Drosophila melanogaster: one gene and its partners. Changing the gene in region 1 together with any one later gene gives a genetic interaction. Each region holds a gene or a part of one and is shown on either strand. Other genes may lie near its edges.

Region 1 (7,586 bases):
CCGGCCAGAACCGAAAGGGAACCACTGGAGCAGCAGAAGAGTCAGAAGAGGCCAAAAGCAAACACCACAAATTAGTCGGCATATAACTCGAACCGGTAAATGGCTAAAAAGAGAACGGGAGGGGAGTGGAGGTGTTCGCCAGGAGAACAACAAATAGAAATCAAGTGAAATTCCTGGGCAAGCAAAGTTTTCCATTTCATTTTTCGGATTTTGCTCATCTATTTTTCATTTTTGCCTTTTTGGATTCCCGAGCAAACTCGGGGCAGCTGCCACATGGAACATGAATCAACACAGAAAGTCCTCAAAAGTTCTCGGGGATGATTTAATTAGAATTCTCGAAGATGTCACCCAGGGCTATGCCCCTAGCCCGGCTTGGCCGGGTTTAAGCCGGCGTTGGGCAACGTTTAATTATGAAATTTTCAAGGTGGCAAGTTGGTAAGTTGCTACGTTGGTACGTTGGTACGTTGGTCGGTTGGTGGGTTGGCAAGGTGACAGGGAAATGCAAAAGGGGGAATCTGGGATGCCCCACCTTAAGGTATTTTGTGGTAGATTAGCCGGGCGTTCAATGTGTTGATGCGGCGGAGGCGTGGAATCCCGATTGGTGTCGGGTTTCGGGTGTCGGATGCTGGCAACGATGTGATAAGTTAATTGAAATTAAATTTTAATTTCATGGGATAAAGTTGCCTTCGATGAGATTGCTTTTTGCGGGCGTTAAGGTGCCGCTCGCAGTCAATATGGAAACGAAAGCGTTGGGGGGAGTGGGTGTGCATACGTCCAAAGACCAATCAAAAAGGAATCCCCCGGGTCTATTAACAGAATCATTTCATTTCCCTTTTAATGGACAACTCACATGTCACGCTGCCTCTAAGAAAACTCATTTATACATTATGTATACGCCGTGTTGAACACACAAGATTCAATCTACGTCGCAACGCAGTCCTTGAGAATGTTAATTGGAGTCTTTCCTGCCACATCGAAACACCTTGGGTTTCCCAGGAAGCCAAACACTCGAACAATCACAATTCGCCCGGGGCTCCAGAGTTCTACATCGGTTTTAATTATACAAATGCAAATGCAGACGAATCCGTCCGACTTTCCAGTTAAGTAAACGGCAGGAGCTTACGGTTTTCGCCTGAAATCGATTCCCCAATCATAACTACAAGTGGCTATAATCACCTCGTCCGGCGGACAACGATTTTAACAATTGCCCAACCACTCGGACTTAAACCCATCGGTTGTTGGTTGCCGGTGGTCGGTGGTCGGTGGTCGGTTGAATGGCCAACGGCACCCGTGGTCCTGGCCATTAACTATGCAAATAATGTGCGGGATATAGACAAAATCGCCACAAGATTAATGCTTATTGATTTTCCCGGCCAGCGATAATTTGTTAGCACGCCAAATTGGCCGACAGTCGAGCGCCACTGAGTGAATGCGATTTTTCTGGCTTACTTTTCTATTTTGGGCAAAGCCATTCGAAGAATTTGATAAGCCCCTCTTGGAATTTTTCAGGACCCCAACCCCCAAAAAGTTTTTGTGGGTATTTGCATTATTAAGTACTCGCACCGCTCCCCCGATTTTCCGATTTCTTGGTGGTCGCTCGCTTTGTGGGAAATGCGAAATGGAAGATGGAGGATGGAAAATGGGTGACGACGGGTCGGTCATCCATTGAGCCGAAGGTGTCACATTGCCGGGATTTGCTTATCAGACATCAAAGGACACCTTGCGGTGCCATCGTTCCCAGATCGTTGCCATTGCAACCCGCAAACGAGAATTTGGCATGCGGAGGAGGAGGGGCAGGACTCACTGCCAAGTTTACGCATCCCTTGAAATTTTGGCTCCAGCCGAGGGAACTTACTTTCAGGTTTGTATAAATATTTTCGCTGGCTTGTTTGTCTGGTTTCGTCTGTTTAGCATTTCGGAATATTAATTAAAACAAACTTTCGGGGAATGTGAGCATTATTAAAAGGAAAGCTTACGTGAGCTGCCTTCTTCGGACTTTTTAGCCACTTCGAATCAGTTTTTGTATTTGTAAAAATGGTGCACATGAAAAACATTGAAATCTGTTTTGTTATGGAAAAATCTGGCTAAGTAAAAAAGAGCTTTGGCCACAAAGCCACAAAATGGCAAAGCAAGATTTAAATGCCTTCAAGTTGAAAGCATTTTGGGAAGGCAATTAAGGGCAAATCCTTGCAGATAAACGTATTTGCCATTTGTCTCAGCTAGAACTTAAACGAGTATTACTTTCAACTCAGTTAACAGACACATCAATTGGAATTAGGAAAACATAAAGCAAGGGTCTCTATAATCGATTTTTGGCACAGTTACTAGGTGTAAATGGGGAAGAAACTTTTACTCGAACCCAACATTCTTGCATCCAATGGATGTTGTCAACCCGAATTGAACGAAACTTAGAGAAATTTTGTTTTTTTATATTGAAGAAGGAGGCGAACCCATCGGAAGCCCGGAAAAGAAAATGTATTAGAAAGGGTCTATAATTCGTCTGTTTCCTCAAGAAGTCCTTGAAAGGAATCCCCAAAATGGAAGCCTGCGGTCCTGGGCAGCATTACCTGGATTTACTTAGCACAACTTCAAAGGAAGGACACTTTCTCCCGCGGGAAGTGGCGCTCCCCCAATTCGTCCTCACTCCGCCCGACTTCTTATTTACTCTTCATCTCTTTATTTCACCGAAATTAGCTGGAAGTGAAAACGAAACCGAAACAGCAAAAGAAATAGAAACTAAACGAATATCGAGCGGCAACAAAGCCATCGCCAAACGCAAAGCAGAACAGACCCCATCCCATCCCATCCAATCCCGAAAACCCGGCCAGACCGAAGTCAACCTACTTTTGGACGCAACAGACTACGCCAGAGCCGAGCGAGTATCCTATATGTGCCATGTAAGTGCACAAGGAGAAAAAGCTGGCAGCTTCGCTCTGTGGATTACTCTGCCAATATTTACTCAACCCTTCCTGTTGTTTTGCGGCGCCATAAAATTCCCAAATATTGCAATTCAATTAACACACGCCTACAGATACATATGTATATGCCATTATACGATAATGTAAGATAAATAATACCGCCTCTCCTTGTGAAAAAGGATGTGGATTTGGGGTTTGAAGAGCCGATACCCCATTTCCATTTGAGCCGTAGGGATTTATTTGGGAACACGTTGGATGGAAATTCACAAAATTGCACAAACTCCAAGACAATGACCGTAAAGCACAATTCCACCATCAATTTTTCAGTCCAAAATAAAGTAGTATCCACTTTTTTCTGCCCGTGCACGAGTTCATTCGGTATGCGCCCAGATGGCAAGCGTGGAGTGGGTTTTTCGGGCAGACGGGCAGGCGGACGGCGAGGAGGACGTGTGGCACGAGGGGGACAAACGGGCGCCCTGCGGCGGATTATTGAATTTTCCAGCATTCTCCGCTGACACTTGGCGCCTAATGCGCTACCGCTTACCTTCGCCTACTGCTGTTGCTCCAGTCCTTGTTGCTGCTACTGGCTTGCTCCTGCGTCCTGCGTCCTGCGTCCTCCGCCTTCTGCTGCTCCGGCGGCTGCTGCTTACCGATTCACTGGCTCTGACGGAAATTCCAATGGAATTTGGCATAATTTACATATCTCCGAGTGCTTGGGCCAAGCGGGCCAAATGCATTGGACACGGTGTACAGGAGTGCGTGTGTGTACCCGATTTTCCGTTTATTTTCCGAGTGCTCCGTCTTTCACCGAATATCCGCACTTTTTTCCCAGGCCCGATTTCTGGGCCGCTGGGCGAAAAATCAAAAACGGCGCGCGTGTCGTACCGCTTGCTACATCCACTGATTTGACGCGCGACCCACGCACTTGCAACACGCGACACACGAGCACCGGGAATCGAACGTCGAGAGTCGAGAATCGAGGAACTGGGGGGCTATGAAGTTGGTTTTTTTGGGGGCACCGAGGGATGAGGGGGCAACTAAGATGAATGTCAATAAAAATGATTCTGCTCTGCACTGCAGTTGGCCTTTTTTCAGCTGTACCACCGAATTCACCTCTTGGCTTTCTGTTTTTCTCCCCGTTTTTTTTTTCGGTCTGTCCCGAGTTACTGTGATTCAATTACAAATCCCAGACGAAAGTCCTGAGGATAGGAGCGCCGGGAAGTGGTTTTCTCGCCACGCGAAGAATCCGTACTGAAGATACAGATATGGCCTGCGAATTGGCAAGTCAGAACTCGCCACAATTCATCTCGCAGCATGGCTGCTGCGCAAAATCCGGGATCTGCGCCTGCGCCGCTCTCCCGCGCTCTCTCTCTCGGACTTTCTCTCTGCGACTGTCTCTCCGCATTCTCCGTGGTGGGTATGTGTGTGTGCCACGCTCGTTGGAATGCTATAAAAAAGGAAACGTTAGAATGAAATGAAAATGTAGCATAATTTATGACTGCATCGTCTTTTAAATAATTGCACGCACACACACCTACGAACCTACACCCTGCCCACCGCCTTAAATATTAACATCCACTCACCTAACGACCGACCGCCTAAAAACACCCGAGAATCCTAATGGCCATGTAAATATGCATTTTTTTATATTCCATACGACTTTTTAAAATGTCTTCCAAATTGGTTACGGGTCAATGGTGTTTGAACGTTCCAAGAATGAAAGCGATACGAGAAGATTTACGAGGAAATTTGATAAACAAATCATGAGCAAATAATTGTCCTGCTGTCTGCCCAAATGAATAGTTGTCAAATACTTAAGAACTCTACTTTTTTAATTGGTATTGCAGATAAAGATCTTAGACGAACATCTCTATACTCAAATATAAAGGACTGCGTTTTTAATAGTATTTTATTCAAGCTTATATTATACAAGTGAAATTGAACCCCTAATCTTAGCTATTGCAAGCATGAACTACTTATATTTGGCAAATTTAGTGATGAATTTACCTTAATGTAAAACCACTTGATAGGCAATTGTTCTTCATTTTTGGCCACTTGCTAAAGCCACTTCAGATTAACCAGCTCAGATAGATGAAGCCGATTTGAAATCAGTTCGTATGCCTCTAGAGAACGCGTCGTTGTTGTCATTAGCTTTTCGAATATGGAAATGGGTGGGTAACTAAGAGACTAGGAGGTTGTCATGCACTACTAGAGAATCAATGTTGGCGAGAGAGATGTGTGTTTCCCAATCAAAGTTCCACGTTGTTCAAATTGGACCCGGAGGAAGTGGGCAGATCGACGTCGCTTGGCGGCACAAAAGTGCCCATGGTTAGGACGCTCTCCTGCTTGGCACACAGTTTCAACATCTCGGATTTAAGTTTGTCCAGTATGGCGTAGTTGGGTTGGTTGACTGCCGCCTTGCTCTGCAGCACGGTGATCTCCTGCTCCTCCAGCTTCTTCTCCTTGAAGGTCTTTATGGAGTTGTTGCCGTAGAGGCGCAACAAGGAACCCCAGGTCTGGATGTGCGGATGCAAAATCTGACGAAAGGTTAACTCAATAGCTATAAGTAAAGTTATAAAGAAATATCAATGCTCACCTGGAGGATTGCTTGCGAAGCCAACTGCTTGCCCTCCCGCTTGTTTTTACACACCACTTTGGCAGTATGTTTGCCCACGGTCATGGTAAACTCGTTCTTGTTATTCGCGGTGCGGTTGATCTCCTGGCTGATCTGAACATCGCTGCCGTAGTTGCGCTGCAAGCAAGTCAGCAGAATGGCGTTGGGAGATGGCTCCGTCGTCTTGTTGCAGAATTCGGTGACTCGGGGATCTTCGATGCGGATGTCATCGAAAACCTGCAAGAAATATAAAAATAAGAAGTGGTTCCATTTTCTATAGGTAGATTGCTTACAGACAGATCGCTCTGCGCTTTCTTCGCAGTGCCGCTCTTTTGGTCCTTATTGTTGCCCGTTATCTTGTCCTTGACATCGGGAATGAGTATTTCCAGCGTTTCCCGAGCCGCCTCTGACTTGGCCTGCTTTTTACTGGTGCCATAGCCCGTGCCATACTTGAGATTGTTCACCGATACGGTGGCGGAGTAAGGCGTGGCTGCGTTTTGGAGCTCCTTGAACTCATAGGTGGGCTGCGTTTTCAGAGCATGCTGCACGTACTCGTGCAGGATGCAGACGAAGCTCTTGCCATTGGGATTCATGATCCACTCCTTCCGACCGCGCGGGTTCGTTGATCCTTCGCCAGCATTCGCTAGTATTGGGAACTTAATAAGCTTAGTGCCATCCGGCAGCGTGGGTCGTTGAATATTCTTGATGTGTTTGCGGTTTTTGGTGAACTTGCGGCGAGCATTCCAACTCCGAAATCGCAGCACACGAATCACCTTGAATTTGAAGAGTTTCTGGCAGTAGGTGTTTAGTTGCTCCGGTGTAATGGATTCCTTTTGGGTATTCTCGTTGACCGTAACAATTTTAGCAGCCGGCATAAGGGCAGTTATTCCATCTGGTTGGGTTTTGGAATCGGTGCTGCCTTCGTTGTTCTCTTTTCCCTCCACGTCCATGGCTTCGGCCGGTAAAGCGGAAGCTCCGGCCATGGGACATACAGCCACTGGCGGCGCTCCATCCGTCTTTTGTTGCTCCACCTCCGACTCTTCCTCCAAAGCCCGCCTGTAGTTAAGACAGGGGATTGCTCCCAAGGGCACTGCATGCTTGCGGGCACTTCCAGTGCCGAGAAAATAGGGCCTCGATGCGCAACAGACGCGAGTTTTGCGATGCAAGAAGAGCGGCATTCCACTGTTGTGGGTCACCTGCACCCATCCCTCGGGTAGGACTTCAAAGTGGTTGAGGCGCTTTTCTAAAAGAGTAGTCACATTAAAATACTCGTCATCTTGGACACTTGGTTCGACGAAAAGCACTGACCTTCCAGCACAGTCTTGAAACGCTGCTCGTATTTGGGCTGCTTTGACTCGCGGAGCTCTTCGGGCAGCTTCTCGTCCAGCAGATTCTCGATCTCGTCATCATCGAATTCCGAGGAATCGTATTCTTCGCCGTCACCATCAGCCGCCTCTTCCTCCTCGTCGCCTCCTTCTCCATACCTTCCGCCCTGCTGCTCGCTAGCGTTGTCTGGTTGCCATGTAAGGAGATACAATCACGGATAAATAAGTTGTCTGTTTGTCTGGGAAATGGAAAACCAGCCGCGAAGTTGATGGCCATCTTCACGGAATATTTGAATGAATGCCATTGGCACCTAATTGTCTAGCTCTTTGATGTTTAATTAAAGTGATCCTTCATTATTACTGGCTCTACCTGACGCAACTGGACAAGCCAGTCGGATAATGGGTATCATGCGCATGGAACTGTCCGCACAAAACTGCCACCACCTGCCTTACAATAAGATAAAGGAAAACTGAAGCTGCTATATCAGGGTTTAACCTGCCGGCTGACTCTTTTATCAGCCTCCTGTATTTGCACAATGATAGGCCCCCAAGATCTTGAGATAAGAACTGCGCCTGCACTGTGAAACAAAAGGTGGTAATTGCACAGCCTGTGATCTGGATGACCTGAGTGAATATCCGAGCTTCGTTTCCGACTCACCTGACTCATCATCCTCATCGCTGCCAGAGCCGACTTCGTCGAGAACCTGGAACTGTCGCAGTTGCTGGTCC
Region 2 (6,936 bases), on another chromosome or scaffold:
AGGCATCATTGGGACGCTCTTTGTCCAGCTGGTCAACGAATCGGGGTGACTTGTAGCAGAAGTTCATTAGACAGTTGGTGGAGTGGGCCCATATCTTCAGCTCATGGCGATAGCAGAAGAGTCCGAAAATCAGACCGAAAAAGGCCACAAAGGCACAGGTGGCCACCAGGAGCAGGGGCAGCAGTCCCTCGATCTCGTTGGTGTGCATATAGTGGGCTACACCATCTCGCAAAGTGCACTTGGTACCGTTCTTCTCCCTCAGAACACTCGTAGCATTGTTGTAGATGCAGCTCACCCTGGAGGCATCTATGATCTTCTCCGAGCTCTGACCCAGGTAGTTTCTGAACCTGGCCAGGTAACCACACTCACAGCTCCACTGGTTGTCGGCCAAGCTGATCTCCACCAGGTAGGGATTGGCACTTAGTTGCCACACCTCGAAGTGCATCAATCGATTGCCATCCAATCGCAGGACCTCCAGTTTCCTCAGCATCTGGAAACTCCCATTGGCGATGCTGGCTATTTTGTTTGATTGCAGATATAGCTCCCTCAGGTTCTCCAGATTGTGGAACTCGTTGCCCTCCAGACTGATTATATGATTATCCTCCAAGTGCAGGATCAACAGGCGTTTAAGGCCACTGAAAGTGGTGTTGTATATGTGGGCCACGTTCGAGTTGTTCGCATAGAGAACAGCCAAGTTCTTGCGACCAAGGAACGAATGTCCCGCCAATTCAACAAAGTTGTTGCCATCGATATACAACTCAGAGGTATCCATGGGCACACGTCTCGGCATCTCAGAATAAGCTGCGCCCGAGCACTCCACAATATTTGTGGACCAGGTTTGGTCATGGAAGCACGTGCAATTCGTGGGGCAGGTCATCTCGCAATCACAAGCATCGAACTCACAGCAATGGCAAACGGCGAAGCAATGGGTCTTGTAGGTGCACAAAAAGTGCTTGGGTTCAGCTTCGATCAGGGGAATATAGGCCCTCTCCCTGTTGTTCAGCAACTTGCAGTATATGGTCTCCAGATCCATAATCCTTGGATATTGCCTCGATGTTATATGGTTAATCTTCTGCAGCCAATCAATGTTACAATCGCAGGTGAAGGGATTTCCACCAATATAGAACTCTGGCAGAGCTCGATGTTCCCAAACTGGCAGAATCCTCAAGGACTTGATGTCCAGCGTTGTGATTTGGTTCGCATAGAGATCCACCCGGGTCAGATTGGTTTTGTGCATAAAGGTATCTGGATCAACGGTGGTTATCAGGTTGTCGTTCAGGAACAGCAGTTCGATAGAGTTTGGTATGGAACTGGGTCCAATGCGCTGAAGTTGATTAAAGCTCACATCGAGAGTTTGTAGTTTTAGCTCACTATCCAAACCAAAACGATTTGATAAGGAACTCAACCGATTCTTATGGAGGTCCAGCCACTGCAGGGTGGATGGCACATGTCCATAATCAAAGGATTCCAAACGATTATCGGATATATTCAGCCACAGAAGGGAGGGCATGTTGCTGAAGAGGCCATTGATGTCATTCAGCTCATTGCCATCCAAACGCACAGCTTGAATGCTCGAGGTCATCTCAAAGGCCCCCGGTTCCACAACTGCTATGCGGTTTCTGGCGAGATTCAGGATTTGCAAATTAGGCAGATCCCTGAAGGTGTGCATCGTAATATTCTCCAGGTAGTTGCCAATCAAGCGGAGACCATAGAGATTTCCCAGACCTTTAAACGCACTATCCTCCATAACGGTAATCATGTTCTCGCCCAGATCCACGGTTCTCAAATGGCGCATATTCCTCAGGGCCAGCGGAACTGTCTTCAGCTGATTGCCATTCAAGTTGAGGTCCTGCAGGGCACTGCAGTTCCGGAAGGCATCCGGATGCACGCCAATCAGCGCATTATTGTCCAGCGAGAGCAGCGACAGTACATACAATCCGTTCAGAGCATATGCATCCAGATACTTCAGTTTGTTGTGCGACAGCAGCAGCGTGTGCAGATTATTCATCGGGGCAAAAGTGTCGGCTGCGATGTTCTCCAGCTGATTGTGACGCAGATTAAGAATCTGCAGGGTGTACAAGTCGCTGAAGATCTCTGGCTCCAGTTTGGTCAACTTGTTGTGCGACAAATTAAGCAGAACCAGACGAATCAGACCCACAAAGGTGTTCTTATCGATCCAGGTGGAGGTTATCTGGTTCATGGACAGGTCCAGGGCCTGCAGCTGGTCCAGATTCGAGAAGAGCTGCGGATTCAGCACACTTATGGAATTATTCTGCAGGTACACCTCTTGGATAATCTTGGCTTGCTCAGCGAAGAGTTCTGTGGGCAAGGCCACGATTTTGTTGGAGCTCAGGTTCAGGATCTGCAGGTTCTTCAGTCCACTGAGAGCCTTGTCCGCAATCATGGAGATGCCATTGTTGTTGACCGAAAGGACTCGCAGCCTCCTCAGAGTGCCAAATCCATTTGCTGGCAGCACGACGAAATCATTGTGGCTCACATCCAGGTACTCCAGGTCCAGCGAACAACTGGTGCTTGAGCTACTGCTCTTTTTGGCCGATTCGGTGGTGGAGGTGGATTCGGTGGAACCATTGGTTGGCTCCTTGCTGCGATCCCTGAAGCCCAGCTCGTTGACGTCCTGCAGGCGATTCTCGCTCATGTTCAGGGCAGACAACTCGGACAGGGTGCAGAATATGTTATCCGGCAGGGACCAGATGTTGTTCGAACTGAGGTCCAGTCTCTCCAACCTCCGAGTGACCGAGAAGGCATCCGCTTCTATCTCGAAATTCAGCGCTGGCCACAGGATGTTGTGCGTCCGGAGCGTCAGGTTCCTCAGCTGCTCCAGACCATCCAGAACCTGGCGACCCAGTCGCCCCAGCTTGCAATACTGGATGGACAGCTGCTGGAGCCTAACCAGATGGGCGAAAGATTGCGCCTCCAGGCGACTCTTGGCCATGATTTCGTCATTGCACAGTATGTGCAGGGCAATCGTGTGCTCGGCGGGTATAACACTGAAATTGGTTGTGTCAAACTCGCTGTTCACCGTGCGCAGGTTGCACGTTAAGGCTATTTCCGGCTGATCCAGACCCGCTGCTGGCATGAAGTGACAGTCGTCGGGGGCGTCATACAGCGAAGGGTCACCACCCGCGCCCGCGGTCAAGGGTCGCAGGGTTCGCGCCGGAGTCGAGGGCTGCATTAGCTGCGAGTTGGAGACCCCAGCCTCACCCATTATCGCATTCGAGTGCGACAGCTGCTGCTGCTGGTGGTGCTTGGTGGACAGCGATTCCGTGGTGTGCTGCTGATCCTGGGCCAGGACCACGGGCAGTATGAGTAGCATATAGTAGATCATTTTGGCGATTCACGGTTTAGCTGCGTGGAGGCACCGGAAAATGGGTTTGCGGAGGGGGGAAAGACGGTACAAGCGGGGGTCTTGGGGAGAAACGAAAAGAAAATCAATTCCACTGGCTGGCCAAAGAAAAGTCTGCGCACATATTTTCGGCTTCTGTGCTCCCTCTACTCCAAGCCAGATTTTCTTTATTTTCCCCCGATTCTTTAGTTAATTATGCTCTCCGTGTTTTCTTCTCTCTTACACCCGGCACATTTTCTAGCACTTGGCCTTTTCTATCCTCTTTATATTTAAATTTTTCTTTTTTATTCGTTTCGGCGCTTTGAATTACTCGCTTCGAAGTTTTTGTTTATTACACGTCGCGTTATAGGAACCTTTGATGAATTTCAATTTAGCTGCGGGCTCGACTTCTATTATCACTTTTTCATTTGGCTGAACTGAACCCACTTTTTCTGGGACTTGAGCGGTGCAGCAGCGTCGATATTTTCCGGTTCGTAATGTAACGCGCACGTTGGCTGATTTTCGACTGACTGCCGCAACGTGCGCAACTTCTCTTTTAAATGGAGAGTCGTCCACGAACTCGAAACCCCGAAAATCCGAAAAGCCGAACGCGAGCCGAAGGGGGCTGGAAAACAGACGAAGAGCAGCCGACAGGCTCTGCACGGGCGGGAAATGCTGAGAGTTTTCGGAGAGTATGACTAAAGGGAAATTCGCTCTGGCTCGACGGATGCTGGAAAATGTTTTTCTTTCTCTCCATCTAATCGCATCGAACAGCTGGCGTTCGTTCGTGTTTTCCTTTTGATTTTCTCTGTCTTTTTTCGTCGTATTTCGTATATCCTTTATTTTTTTGCCGCCGAATCGGAGATAGAGCTCCGCACCCCCCGCCGCCAACCGGCGACTTCTCTGCTGTCTCTGTTTTGATAATGAAAATATATGATGTGCATGGGCCAGCGCCAATCTTCATACAAACGTAATTTATTTTTATGCCATGTGCATGTGTGTGTCGGTGTGCCGAGAAGGTCCTTCGGCTGCTTTTTGCTCCTGTTTCGTGGGCCCAGACCCGTATAAAAATAATAATTCCTCACATTCCATTAAATTACAATAATAATTTTAATTAAACTGTTTTGTTTGCGCCTCATGTAACAATTCCTGTGGTTTCATGACTTCTTTTTCGCCCAGCAAAGCAGCAAAAAACTGTCTTCCCCATCAGGTTAATGATAATGATTATGGGCCAGCATTATGGGGTTTCGTTGGGCTTTGGATGTGTGGGGATTTCTGTGGATTCCTCGTTCTCAAATCCGGAAAGTTATGCAAGGACTTGGTTAGACTCGATTGGGAGATGCTGGAAATAGCAAATATGAAAATTCGTGAGCAGAGTTTTTATAAAAAGCTCCTTTTATAGGATATCTTAAATCGCACACTGCAAATTCAGATTTTTGTAGTTACTTAAATTTTGAATTATGTTATTGTCTTTTGGACTTAAATTAATATTTCTTTGAGATTAATTACACTTGGAACATTTTACTACTTCAAATAATAAATATACAATTTTTGCTTCACGCGCCTATGATTTTGATGAATGTATTATAATCTTACCTAAAGTAGTCCTGGTATCTCGAAAAAGAAATCAATCTATCAAGGAAATTTTCCAAGGGTTAATTTACAAAGAAGACTGTCTATTGTTCCTTATTTCGTTAACCTCCGGCATGTATGTATTTTGATTGTTCAATATTTGGGTGAAAGCAGAAATATTGATGGATCACCGCCAACAAATTCAATGGCGATTACCACGGCATGGTAACCTTGATAAACTTCGGGTCTTTCATGACTAATTCCCAAGAAAAACAGCTGCCCTGGACACTTTATCTTGGGCTAATATTTCTTAGCTGGCTTGAAAGTTTTCCCATATCCATGGGTGTTGTGGCTAAGGATCTTTTTGTCGCCACTAAAAGCAAACACAAAAACATTTTTGCCAAATTGCGTCAGCCAACAGAACGCCTCCCACCCATTTTTCGTGCTGGGGTAATGATTTGCCTAATGTTTCTAACAATTATGTGGCTTGGCCACACAAAAGAATATATTATGTAAGTTATTAAAATTATATCACCAGCAGGAGCAGCAGCAGAGCCACGAACAGCAGCCAAGTCTAATAAGCCTCCTGCACAGTGAAGAAAACTATTGCAGTTCAGTCTTAATTTGAGAGATTTTCTCAGTAAGATATTCGCTAAAAATATTAGTTATTTAGGCACATGATGTTTTTCTTTTACCAATTACTCTTGTACAGGGATGTATTACTGTTTTATTCACAAGATTTTCCTTCAGTGCACCCCTTATTTTACTCACCTTCAGGCTTTCGCAGGCTCTTTCAAATGTAAATGGCGGCAAGGACGAGGTTTTGTGGCTCGCTTTCCTTTGTGTGGTGGCACATGCAACCAAGAAGGAATATTTCTTCCCCGGCCTGGTATTCTTTTTTCGGTAGTTATCAATTTGGTGAACGCTTCTGGCTTTTGTCCGTGGTCCTGGTCGCAGCTCCTTTATTTATGTGCCCCATAACGTGGGTTTCTTTCGCTTCGTTTTTTTTTTTTTTTCGGTAACACGAATGACAAGATTTTCATCAACGTCATTAATATTAACTTTTGCAATAATTCTCGAGCTGTGGAAAATTATGAGAAATGACCCAGTAGATAAAGCCAGAGGCTGGGCAAAGCGGAGCTGAATCGGAGTCCACTTTTCGACAAAGCCATAACTCTCGGTGTGCAGATTGGATTGGTTTGCCGGCTATAGTAGATGTCCTTGTCGTGGTATTAGCCTGACGCCTGGACGGCTTTCAAGTCAATCTTAATTGTGGCTCTGTGCTATGGACTCGGCCTAATGACAGCATTTCGGATTACTTTCACTCAAAGCCAAGGGGGAAAGCTAGAAAGAAAGGTTGCATATTTTATGGCGCCCAAGCAGCTTTACGGGTGCACTGTAAAAAATTTTCAATCTGTTGAAGCAACTCAATATCATTAGGTCTGCCATGGATAAATGGGAAGCTCAAATCAAAACACCAAAGTGAGTCTTAGATTAAACAAGCCTACGCTATAACAATTTTTTGACGTACATTCCGCGTTTTACGTGAAAATGGGATTACATATTCCAATCCATTTTGATTACTAAATATTTACTTTTATGTTTTTCAGTGTGTCTATATATGAGGAGGGGGCACAAAAATCACAATTAAATGTAACAATTGCGTCTCTGGGGACCGCAGGTCTGGTTAACAAGAGCATCGGACTCGATTCCCTCCTGTCAGTTGCTTGTCTGATGCCAGCTTAAATTGCCCATACACGTCACAGGCAAACACCACCCAACACCCACCACCTACCGCCCATTGCCCCACATCCTTGCAGTACCCACCCAATGCGATGTTCCTTATCCCCACCCACACCCATCGGATTCACCCATTCAGCTATCCTTTTTGGCAGCTTTGGCTCGTCCTCGTTTGTCGTTTCTCTTTCACTCTGTTTGCGTTTATTAATTGTTGCCTTTATTTTGGCCTCATTTTATTTGATTTGGTTTTCCTTCGACTGGCCGGCCTTCGCCTGCCTTTT
Region 3 (9,658 bases), on another chromosome or scaffold:
GTATTGGCATGAAATGAAATCGAAAAGTGCTTTGTATAACTGCCAGGAGCTAATCTGTAGACAGACGGCAGAATTGCTTAAAGTACTCCAATCAGATAATATGCTCGGAGAGCATCCGGTTTGCAAGCAGATGCAGAGCTTTGCGGATGCAGCAAAAACATTGGAGCAGCGCGTTGCCGAGATGAGAATGGGTGAACTCTTAGTCTTTCTCGATTCCGGTATGGCCACCGATGAGGAGTTGCTCGCCGGGCTGGACAATCTCTTTAGCCGCTTCATAGCCTTTGGTAACGATGAGTGCGTGGAAACGATGGCAAATCATTTAATTATGCTCACCAAGAAACATGCCCAGATAATACTCAGTTTCCTGGGTCAGGTGGTGGAGTCCGAAATGGTGGTCGAGGACGAGGGCATATCCGTTACGGAAGTAAATCAGGGGGATGACGAGGACGAGACCTCGTCCAACGATGATTACGAAGAGCTGCTAAGCCTAGTACTGCGTCCCTTATTTATGCAATTAAATGTCGAGGACAAGATGGAAGTACTGCTATTGCGCGATGAGCAAAACGTTACCCAAGGATTTAATTTCAAGGCTCCCGATCATCGGGAGCGTCGCATACGCTTCTTTAATCAATTGGATTATAATAAGCGCTTCCCGATAACCAAATTTCTAGTACTGTGCTTTGAGAACGCAAGACAGACCTGGATTGATTTCTCCCACTTGGGCGTGACGCATACTCGCTTCTCGAAGCTATTCTGGCACATAGCTCAGTCTTGTCCCAAGCATGCTGCTTTTCATATTTCCGCCTGTGCCGATAACATCTTGGTGAACGAGCAACTACTTCAAAAGCCGTATGCCTTGCAGTTTACACTCTACCTATATGGCCACCGACAGATCCTCAACGGTCTCTACACGTCAGCGCGACAACTGTGCGTTAGTTTGAAAGACGGACGGTGTCCCTACGGAGAGGATGAGCTTAGGCAGGCGCAAAATAGGTTCCTAGACGCGTGTGCCTACGGTTTGGCCAAGTTTATAGAGCCCATGAACTTGCCCAGCTTGCAGTTAATCTTGAAACTGCTCAAGCAGATTAGTCTGGGTGAAAGCAATCTAATCACCCGAGGCACTGCAGAGTTAAATGCACTCGAAAAGGAGCACCCGAAATTGGAGAACGGAGACGATGCACCAGCTGTCAAGGTGGCCAAGCACTACACATATCTGAATGCCAGCTTGCCAGAGTGGCGTTTGAAACACTGGAAGCTGATCTCGCATGTCATGAAAACCATTGATGCCCTACGCTGGGACTTGGCCACCTTTGAAGATTTCCGGGTGGATAATTTAGAACTGGCGGTGTGGTATTGGCAGGACGGTCTGTCTCATCTGACATTCCTAGGCACTGGTGCGCTCTTATAAATGTAAGTCCAAGACGAAAGCCTACTAATTATTGCTCTTTCACAGAATGCCGCCAGAGGATCTTGAACCAAGTGAACAGTTTAAAGCACAAGGGCTTTTGGCTCATCTACCTTAAAGAAGACACCTTAAAGGACACACGCTCCTTTCTCAAATTGCTAACTCAGTCCAGTGCACAGGAGGCTAACGATCTCTTCAAAAAGCTCCTTAAAAAAAGGGCCGATTGTGCTGTTATGGGCGATCTTAGCGATGCAGTGGTCAAGGTGAACAGCGAGTCCGCTTTCATGGCCTTTAGATTCCTATTTCGAGAATATTTGATCGCCTTCCGGAGCCACGCCAAACACAATAAGACCATCACGAAGCGCCAGCATTGGGATCATTTGATGGCCGTTGTGGCCAAGGCTCCATTCTCCATTCGCAACGAGATTATGAAGCTAGCTAGTAAAGCCTTCGCTGTGCGATTCGGCATAAATATCCAGGAACAGCAGGCGGCCAAGTGTTAAGGAGATGCTGTTAGAAGTGTAATTTTCTTAAGCCAAATCGAAACTCCGCCGCTTGTCCAACACTTTAATTCTTAGGCAGTCAGATCTCTATATGACTAAAAACATATATAATATTCATAACGCTAGGATTGAACATCAGAATAATTTGATATCAGATTATTTTACAACTTTGTATGTCCTTTAAAAGGACGACTGTATGCACATAACAAATGTACCACTACCATGCAAATTTTTTGTCTTACTAAAAATACTTTGGCAAGCAAGTGAAGTTATTCAGCTGAAAATTAATAAAATTTTGCATGTTCTTTTTTTTCGTATTATTATGTATTATATATATAATATACAAAACGCTATGATTGAACATCAGAATAATTTGATATCAGGTTATTTTACAACTTTGTGTGTCCTTAAGGCCGACTATATTTACATAAAATATGTAATACTACCATCAAATACAAATTTGTGTTCTATTAAATAAATGCTTTGGCAAGCTTAAAATTATTGTAATTTTGCATGTTCTTATTTTTATTCGTATTTTTATGTATTACTTCGACTGCTTTGCTTCCTGTTGCAAAATTGTAACTTAAAACTAGGAAAATTTATTTTAATACATTTTTAAATTTCATGTACTCGTTATGTTATAAATTTAACTAATTTATATTCTGTCAAAAGCTGAATGGCATTATTCAGGGAAAGGAAAATTTTGGTGCAAATTGTTATTAATAACATTTTCAAATTACCTAAATAAAAAAAAATAGAAAAAATATCTTGTCTTAAAAAACACTATATATATTTTACAAGGTAATTTAACGACCAATGCTTGACAAGTATCGAAAAGTCGCTAAACTAAAAATATCGATACCCGATGCATCGATATTTTTTTCACATCACTAGCTGACAGAATATATGGCTTTTTTACATTTTGCGTTTTCAACTGAAGTTTGCGAAGAAACCGAAGCGTGGTAAACCACTGAAATCGAAAATATCGACAGAAAAGCGACCTAAAGTCGGTGAAGAAGTCGCACGTTGATCGTTGTGTTTTTTTCCCGAAATTTTCTGCAAAAAGCCCGTGCGTGCGTGAGTTTCTCTGGCTCTTGCTTTTTTTTTGTCCATGCGTGTGTGTGTGGTCGCATAAATTTACCGATATTTCGCCTGTGAGAGCGAAACGAACGAAAAACGAAAGAAAAAAAGAGAGACGAGTAAAGTAAAACGAAACAGGCATAAAAACAGCAGCAGTTTTCTTGATATATTTGGCTAAAAAACGCAAACGTAAGCGAAAAATTTGAAATCCCTCTTTTAATTTAGTTGTGTGCCTGTGTCTCGTATCTATGCGTGCGTCTGCATTTTAATATAATTTTGTGTGCATTTTCTTAACAGCAAACAGCCAGCAAGAACAACAAATAGCTGGGCAAAAACAGGACGCACAAAAAATAAAATTAAAACGATAAGAGGCGAAAAGCGGAGAGAGTGAAATTCTCGGCAGCAACAACGACAAGAACAACACCAGGAGCAGCAGCAACAACAACAACAAAAGCCAGCCGCCACAATGAGCAAATCACTCTTTGATCTTCCGTTGACCATTGAACCAGAACATGAGTTGCGTTTTGTGGGTAAGTTTATTTTACATTATTTTCGCGTTTTTGCGGAAAGGTCGCTGCATATCGACCAAAAAAGCCGATTCACCTCCCATTTCTTGCAAAGAGCAAACTGCAAGTTTCACTTTTTCTCTCTCTCACGCGCACATTTAATCTCCCTCCCTCTACGCTTTCTATTGCCATCTCGCTCGATTGGCTATCAATAATTTCCGTTGTTTTTGTTCTTCCTTTACATACGACACCTTTTATTGTTGTTCTTTTCGGGGTCTACGTGTATCATCGCTCTGCTTCTTTCCGTTTTTTTTCTTTTTTTTTTTTTTGCTTCAGCTCTTTAATGTATTTTATTTTTTGATGCCGGCAGCTGGCGTCGCTCTCTTTCTCACTTGCACTCGCCATCCCTCTCCCTCTTGCTCACTCGTTTCGCGTTTTTGGCTAGCATTATATTTTTATACGCAAAAACTTGTCATGGGCCATTTTAATTTTTTCTTGTCTTTTGGCTCCTTGAATTTTGGCCAAAAAGCAACAGCAGCAGTGACAAAAACAATGCAAAGAGCTCGCACAGTGGGTGCGACAAGTGGCACGGTTGTCATCGCATTGTTATTGAACTCCTGTTGCCAAGCTGCATTTTCCAGTGCATAAACATTTAATTTTTTTCGCGAAATTTTATCACAGTCTCAATTGCAGAACGAAATGTCTACTTAAATGACCAATCATTGTTGATTGCGATCTAGAATAATACACCAATAACCATTCACCATTTGTATTTTGTCTTATTGAAAAAAATTGAGTTAACTTTTCAAGTATTTTGCTATCGCTTCCATTGTGCGCAAATATTTTAATATCTGTGTATGTGTGAGTGAGCCTTAGCCCCATTCTTTTGCAACCCCCTCGCCCACGTTTCCCGTTAGATCGTGAATAGTGCGGTCGGCGAGGGGTGAAAAACACATGCATGACGCGACTTTGTCTAATGAAATTTCCTTGACACACACTTACACCAAAGAAAAACACGCACACGCCATGCTAACAAACAAAAAAAATTCCTTTCGTTAGTTTTTGCCCATTTCCTGGTTTGTTTTGATTTTCTCACCAATGCCTGTTAAAAATGTGACCAAAAAAACTATTTTAGAATGTAAGACCCCGCGATCGATTTCTAGTCGGCTTAAAAGTAATATTCGGAGTAATACTAGCGTTTACTAATCACATTAAATCTGAAATAATTTGAAGTAATTTTTGTAATTTCATAATAGTTTCAAAATAAGTTACACATTTTGGTAGTGAATCCAACTTCAATATGCAGGGTATTCCTCGATATTCAGTTTACTATTCGGTTTTTGTGCCCGTTCTCGATTTTGTTTTGATATTAATTCAATTAATTTGAACTTGCCTCGACCAATGACGCAACGAGCGTGACGCTACACAAAAATCAGGAAGAGTGGGGAAAATCGGGAAAGTAGAGAAATGTGGAAAGTGCGAGTGTTGGGCGCTTTTGGGTTGGGTGGGGCTATCGCCAAAATAGTGTGACTAATCGGGTGCATTCAATATGAAAGGGCGATAATGCCTGTTTTATTTAAAGATCATATCATGAGGAGAAAATCGGAAATCAGAAAATATTAACAATAGGGAAATATGTATGTACATATGCGTTATATGTGCCATGAAATTAATAAGATGTGTTCCTTAAGCTAACACTCATTTTGATATATTCTCGCCTTACAGGTCCCTTCACCCGACCCGTTGTCACAATCATGACTCTGCGCAACAACTCGGCTCTGCCTCTGGTCTTCAAGATCAAGACAACCGCCCCGAAACGCTACTGCGTACGTCCAAACATCGGCAAGATAATTCCCTTTCGATCAACCCAGGTGGAGAGTGAGTATTTCTCAAATGGTATATCGTTACTCTAATAATATCGTTACTTATCCTCGGCATGTACATAGTCTGCCTTCAGCCATTCGTCTACGATCAGCAGGAGAAGAACAAGCACAAGTTCATGGTGCAGAGCGTCCTGGCACCCATGGATGCTGATCTAAGCGATTTAAATAAATTGGTAAGGGGAAACGAATAGGACTCTTAATGATGGCATAGTGTGTATATTACTTTTCTAATCAACGTCCTATTCTACACCCGCAGTGGAAGGATCTGGAGCCCGAGCAGCTGATGGACGCCAAACTGAAGTGCGTTTTCGAGATGCCCACCGCTGAGGCAAATGCTGAGAACACCAGCGGTGGTGGTGCCGTTGGCGGCGGAACCGGAGCTGCCGGAGGCGGAAGCGCGGGTGCCAATACTAGCTCAGCCAGCGCTGAGGCGCTCGAGAGCAAGCCGAAGCTCTCCAGCGAGGATAAGGTATGTTAAGTCGAACAGGCAAAACCTTTCTAATGGCATAATAAATAACGCTAACATATTACCCAGTTTAAGCCATCCAATTTGCTCGAAACGTCTGAGAGTCTGGACTTGCTGTCCGGAGAGATCAAAGCGCTGCGTGAATGCAACATTGAATTGCGAAGAGAGAATCTTCACTTGAAGGTAAGCCAATTCCATTATGACTCTTCATTTTTTCTGTGTTTTGAGTAGTGCAATGTCGAAGTTACTGCTACCTAAGGGAGTTCCTCAGCAGTATTATCAAGATGTCTTCAATATTGAATATTCAGTTTTGTTCGCAATCGGTTAGAATGAGTCGATTCAGCCATAAGGAGAAGCAGGCCTCTGACTTTTTTCAAATTATAGGCTGTACGCGATGATCTCAAAATTGATATGAAAATTAATGACACTATTAGTGACAATTTCTTGCATTAGGTTGCTGTGGTGTACTAAAAATAATCAGCCTTTAAATATAAGTAAATCCAATTTGGTAATTCCAAGAATAATGCAAATAATGATCTGTTGTGCCTGGGAGTTTTCTGCGCGCTTGATATATAATTATTGTTATTATACAATAACTCGGTTCAGTTGGGGTGCTGATTTGTTTTCGAGTTCAAAAAAGAATACATAGGATAAATATTTTGTAAGTAGCCAGATAAGGATCAATCTATCCATTTGTGTAAATTAATAAATTTCTCAACCATTTGCAGGATCAAATCACACGTTTCCGGAGCTCGCCGGCCGTCAAACAGGTGAATGAGCCCTATGCCCCAGTCCTGGCTGAGAAGCAGATTCCGGTCTTTTACATTGCAGTTGCCATTGCTGCGGCCATCGTTAGCCTCCTGCTGGGCAAATTCTTTCTCTGAATGCCATAAACGAACGCCAGCAACATGCTACATGCAACGTGCAGCAACAGTAACAGCAAGAACAGCGGCAACACCATCATACAGCAACAGCAACAACAAAAGCAAAAGCAGCAGCAGCAGCAGCAACTAACAATAGCAACAACAACGAAAGAAGAACAGCAGCAGCAGGAGCATTAAAATAAATTTAATTGGCAGAAGAAACAAACCACAGAGACGAATGTAAAGCTGACTAAACCGGGGACCGTATACATTTAAACGGTTGTATTGAAAATCAAAAATAATCATTGTTTGTTAGCGAAACAAGTATCGCTCAGAATAGTATGGATTATGATGTGAGAAATATTGTTTGGTTCCAACATATTGCTCAAAGACAGATTGGCAGTTCTTGTTTTTAATACGAATCTTAACGAGACTTAAGTGTAAAGCATTCGAAACAATTTTAAGCTGTATTGACGCTTCGTGTATTTCAACCAAAAATATTTAAGTTTTTGCAAGATCTCGCTTGAATTAGTCGCAACCGGACTTTGAGTAATAAGAACATTTGGGCCCTATGAAATCCCTCACATCATAATCAATACTTAAAAAAAAGAAAACATAACGAATGATTACTTTTGGTACCTGGGCTAAACAAAACAAAAAAAAAAAAAAAAAACAAAAAAAAAACCGCAGAGAAAGGGAAAAATAGAAGAGACGTAAAATCGTATTTTCGCAAGGGGGAACATCTCTCAAGAACTCTTTAAAATCCGCTAAGATCCATACGTATATTTGCTCAGATTTTCGATTGCATTTTTTCGCTATTATTAATTTGTAAGAACTTAAGTTTAAAATGCCTCACAATTCGTTTTAATAATTTTTCGATGCATTTGCAAACGGGAAAAGTCAAGTATTTCAAAGAATAACAAAAATTATCATTAATCATACCTTCTCGACGAAACTAAAAGAAAAACCAATTTGTTACTTGAGTGCGAGAATAAACTTCAGTTTTATCAATTTTTTTTATTATTTGCTTTCTTTTTGTTAATTAATTTTTTGCAGCCACATAGACCTAGATGTAAAATTTAAATCGAAAACAGAAACGCAAATGTCAAGAAAAAAACATTTAGCAAAATGCAACAAAAATTAAGAAGAAACACTTGTATGGAAAACCAATCAATGAAAAGCTTCAAAAAATAAAAAAATAAAAACAACAATGCTCTGCAAGGCCGACGCTCTCTAAGAAAGAAAAGTTGCTTCACCTCACCCCTCGTCCCATCACTCTTTCTCATTCTCAACCGTCTGTCCCTCTCTAAATCCCGAAACGAGATCGAACGCGGACGGCGGCTCTATATATACATATTTATATATAATCATTATTGTTTTGGTTGGCATTTGCATTTACTAAGTTTCGTTTTAGTCACTTCAGTGGTTACATTACTACACACATACACACCACTCAATGAACGCTATATATATATATATATATATAGATATATATATATTATATGAATATACTAAATTTCTGTAAGCAAACCTTTATGTAATTTGTGTTGTTTGCCAAGGTCGAATTGAACGATTTCCAGCCCAAATGGCACCGAAATTGAGAAAATCCATCAACTGTATCCGACACGCCGATATATATACGATCTAATAAGTGCAAAAAAAAAATCAATCAATTTTCTAAAAAAGAAAACACAAAAAAAAAAAGGAACGAAAAAACCTTTACTAGAAGCAAAACAAACGCGTGTTGTTCATGGTTTACACTGCACCCGTGGATCCATAGATTTGGATCCATAGATACACCCACCCACCCACTTGGTTCCTTTCGTAGCGCCTACTATTTGCTGGCGATGCATCTTGTTTCACACAATTGTTTCCCCAACACATTTCATTGCTATTGTTCGTGGTTACGACTTTTTTTATATAGTTTGCAAAGCATTGAAAAGGGTATATAGATTTATACATGAATATATATTCGCCGACATGCATGATCGCTGTAATTTCATAGGCATGTGGAAAACTCGTATTTAAATGTTTAACTAGAAATACAGAAAAGAAAAGAAAAAATAAACTAAAAATAAATAAAAGGAAATGTGGAAATAAACAAATGATAAAGACAAAAGCAAATCATAAGCAAATTGTACTTGATGTCAGCTGTAGCAAAAAAAAAAAAACAAAACACAATATATATGAACATAATAATAATAATAAAATGTGAAAACGGAACTTAACATTCAAAAATTGTTTCGATACATTTAACAACATTCAATTGCATTATTTGATTGAAGTCAACCGACACACACACACACTTTACTCACACCCGAAAGAGTCTGTCTCCTCGCGAAGTAGGCGCAAAATCAACGAAAGTTGTAGAAGATCTGGAAGCTGGAGATCAGCACACACACACACATACACACAAGAGAAAAACAATTATTATAATATTTACAGCATGAATCTTAAAAACTAAGCGTTTTTTTCTCAAAGGAAAAGTAAAATGAAACATTGTTAATTAAACATCAAATATCATTTGAAATAAATTTAAATAAAACGAAAAGGAAACGCAATGGTGTCTTATTATACAACTGTGCTATAAATCCCATTTAAGCAGCAGAGATTGTATCCCTTATAAAAAATGCTTTGGTTTAGTTCTTAAATTCTCTTTAGTTAAGTTTTCTGGTTTTTCTTCAGCTTCGTTTCACAATTCGTTTTGTTTTATACAATTTTTACATATCTACAACATAAAACGTACGCGTTTGGAACAAATCGGGAATACGGCTCGAACGGCCAAGGGGATGAGCTTTTTTTTTTAGCTAGCCAAGGTACATAATATCGTATAAAGAACTCTAATGCTATTGCCATTGTCCGCACAAGGAAGGCCAGGATCGAAGTTAGTGTAATGATTTGTTATTAAAGTGCTAGTCGTAGGAGTACGGGCTTCTGGACGTGTGGTCGTTC

The links.
Region 2: of kek6 (region 1) and Toll-6, changing one suppresses a phenotype caused by changing the other (phenotypic suppression), as found in Drosophila melanogaster (one study listed by BioGRID).
Region 3: of kek6 (region 1) and Vap33, changing one suppresses a phenotype caused by changing the other (phenotypic suppression), as found in Drosophila melanogaster (one study listed by BioGRID).

The regions. Positions count from the first base shown.
Region 1 is NT_033777.3:31,618,699-31,626,284, reverse strand, and holds the start of kek6 (kekkon 6), read right to left. Parts: upstream 4,150-7,586; 5' UTR 3,463-4,149; intron 1-3,462. Other genes in the region: pasha (partner of drosha), read right to left, coding at 5,168-5,455, 5,515-5,769, 5,826-6,775, 6,841-7,044, 7,516-7,586.
Region 2 is NT_037436.4:15,333,635-15,340,570, reverse strand, and holds the start of Toll-6 (Toll-6), read right to left. Parts: upstream 3,880-6,936; 5' UTR 3,347-3,879; coding exon 1-3,346.
Region 3 is NC_004354.4:3,946,196-3,955,853, forward strand, and holds Vap33 (VAMP-associated protein 33kDa), read left to right. Parts: upstream 1-2,779; 5' UTR 2,780-3,177; intron 3,178-3,285; 5' UTR 3,286-3,454; coding exon 3,455-3,518; intron 3,519-5,219; coding exon 5,220-5,372; intron 5,373-5,440; coding exon 5,441-5,550; intron 5,551-5,633; coding exon 5,634-5,846; intron 5,847-5,912; coding exon 5,913-6,026; intron 6,027-6,571; coding exon 6,572-6,727; 3' UTR 6,728-9,247; downstream 9,248-9,658. Other genes in the region: Gem4c (gemin 4c), read left to right, coding at 1-1,394, 1,454-1,908.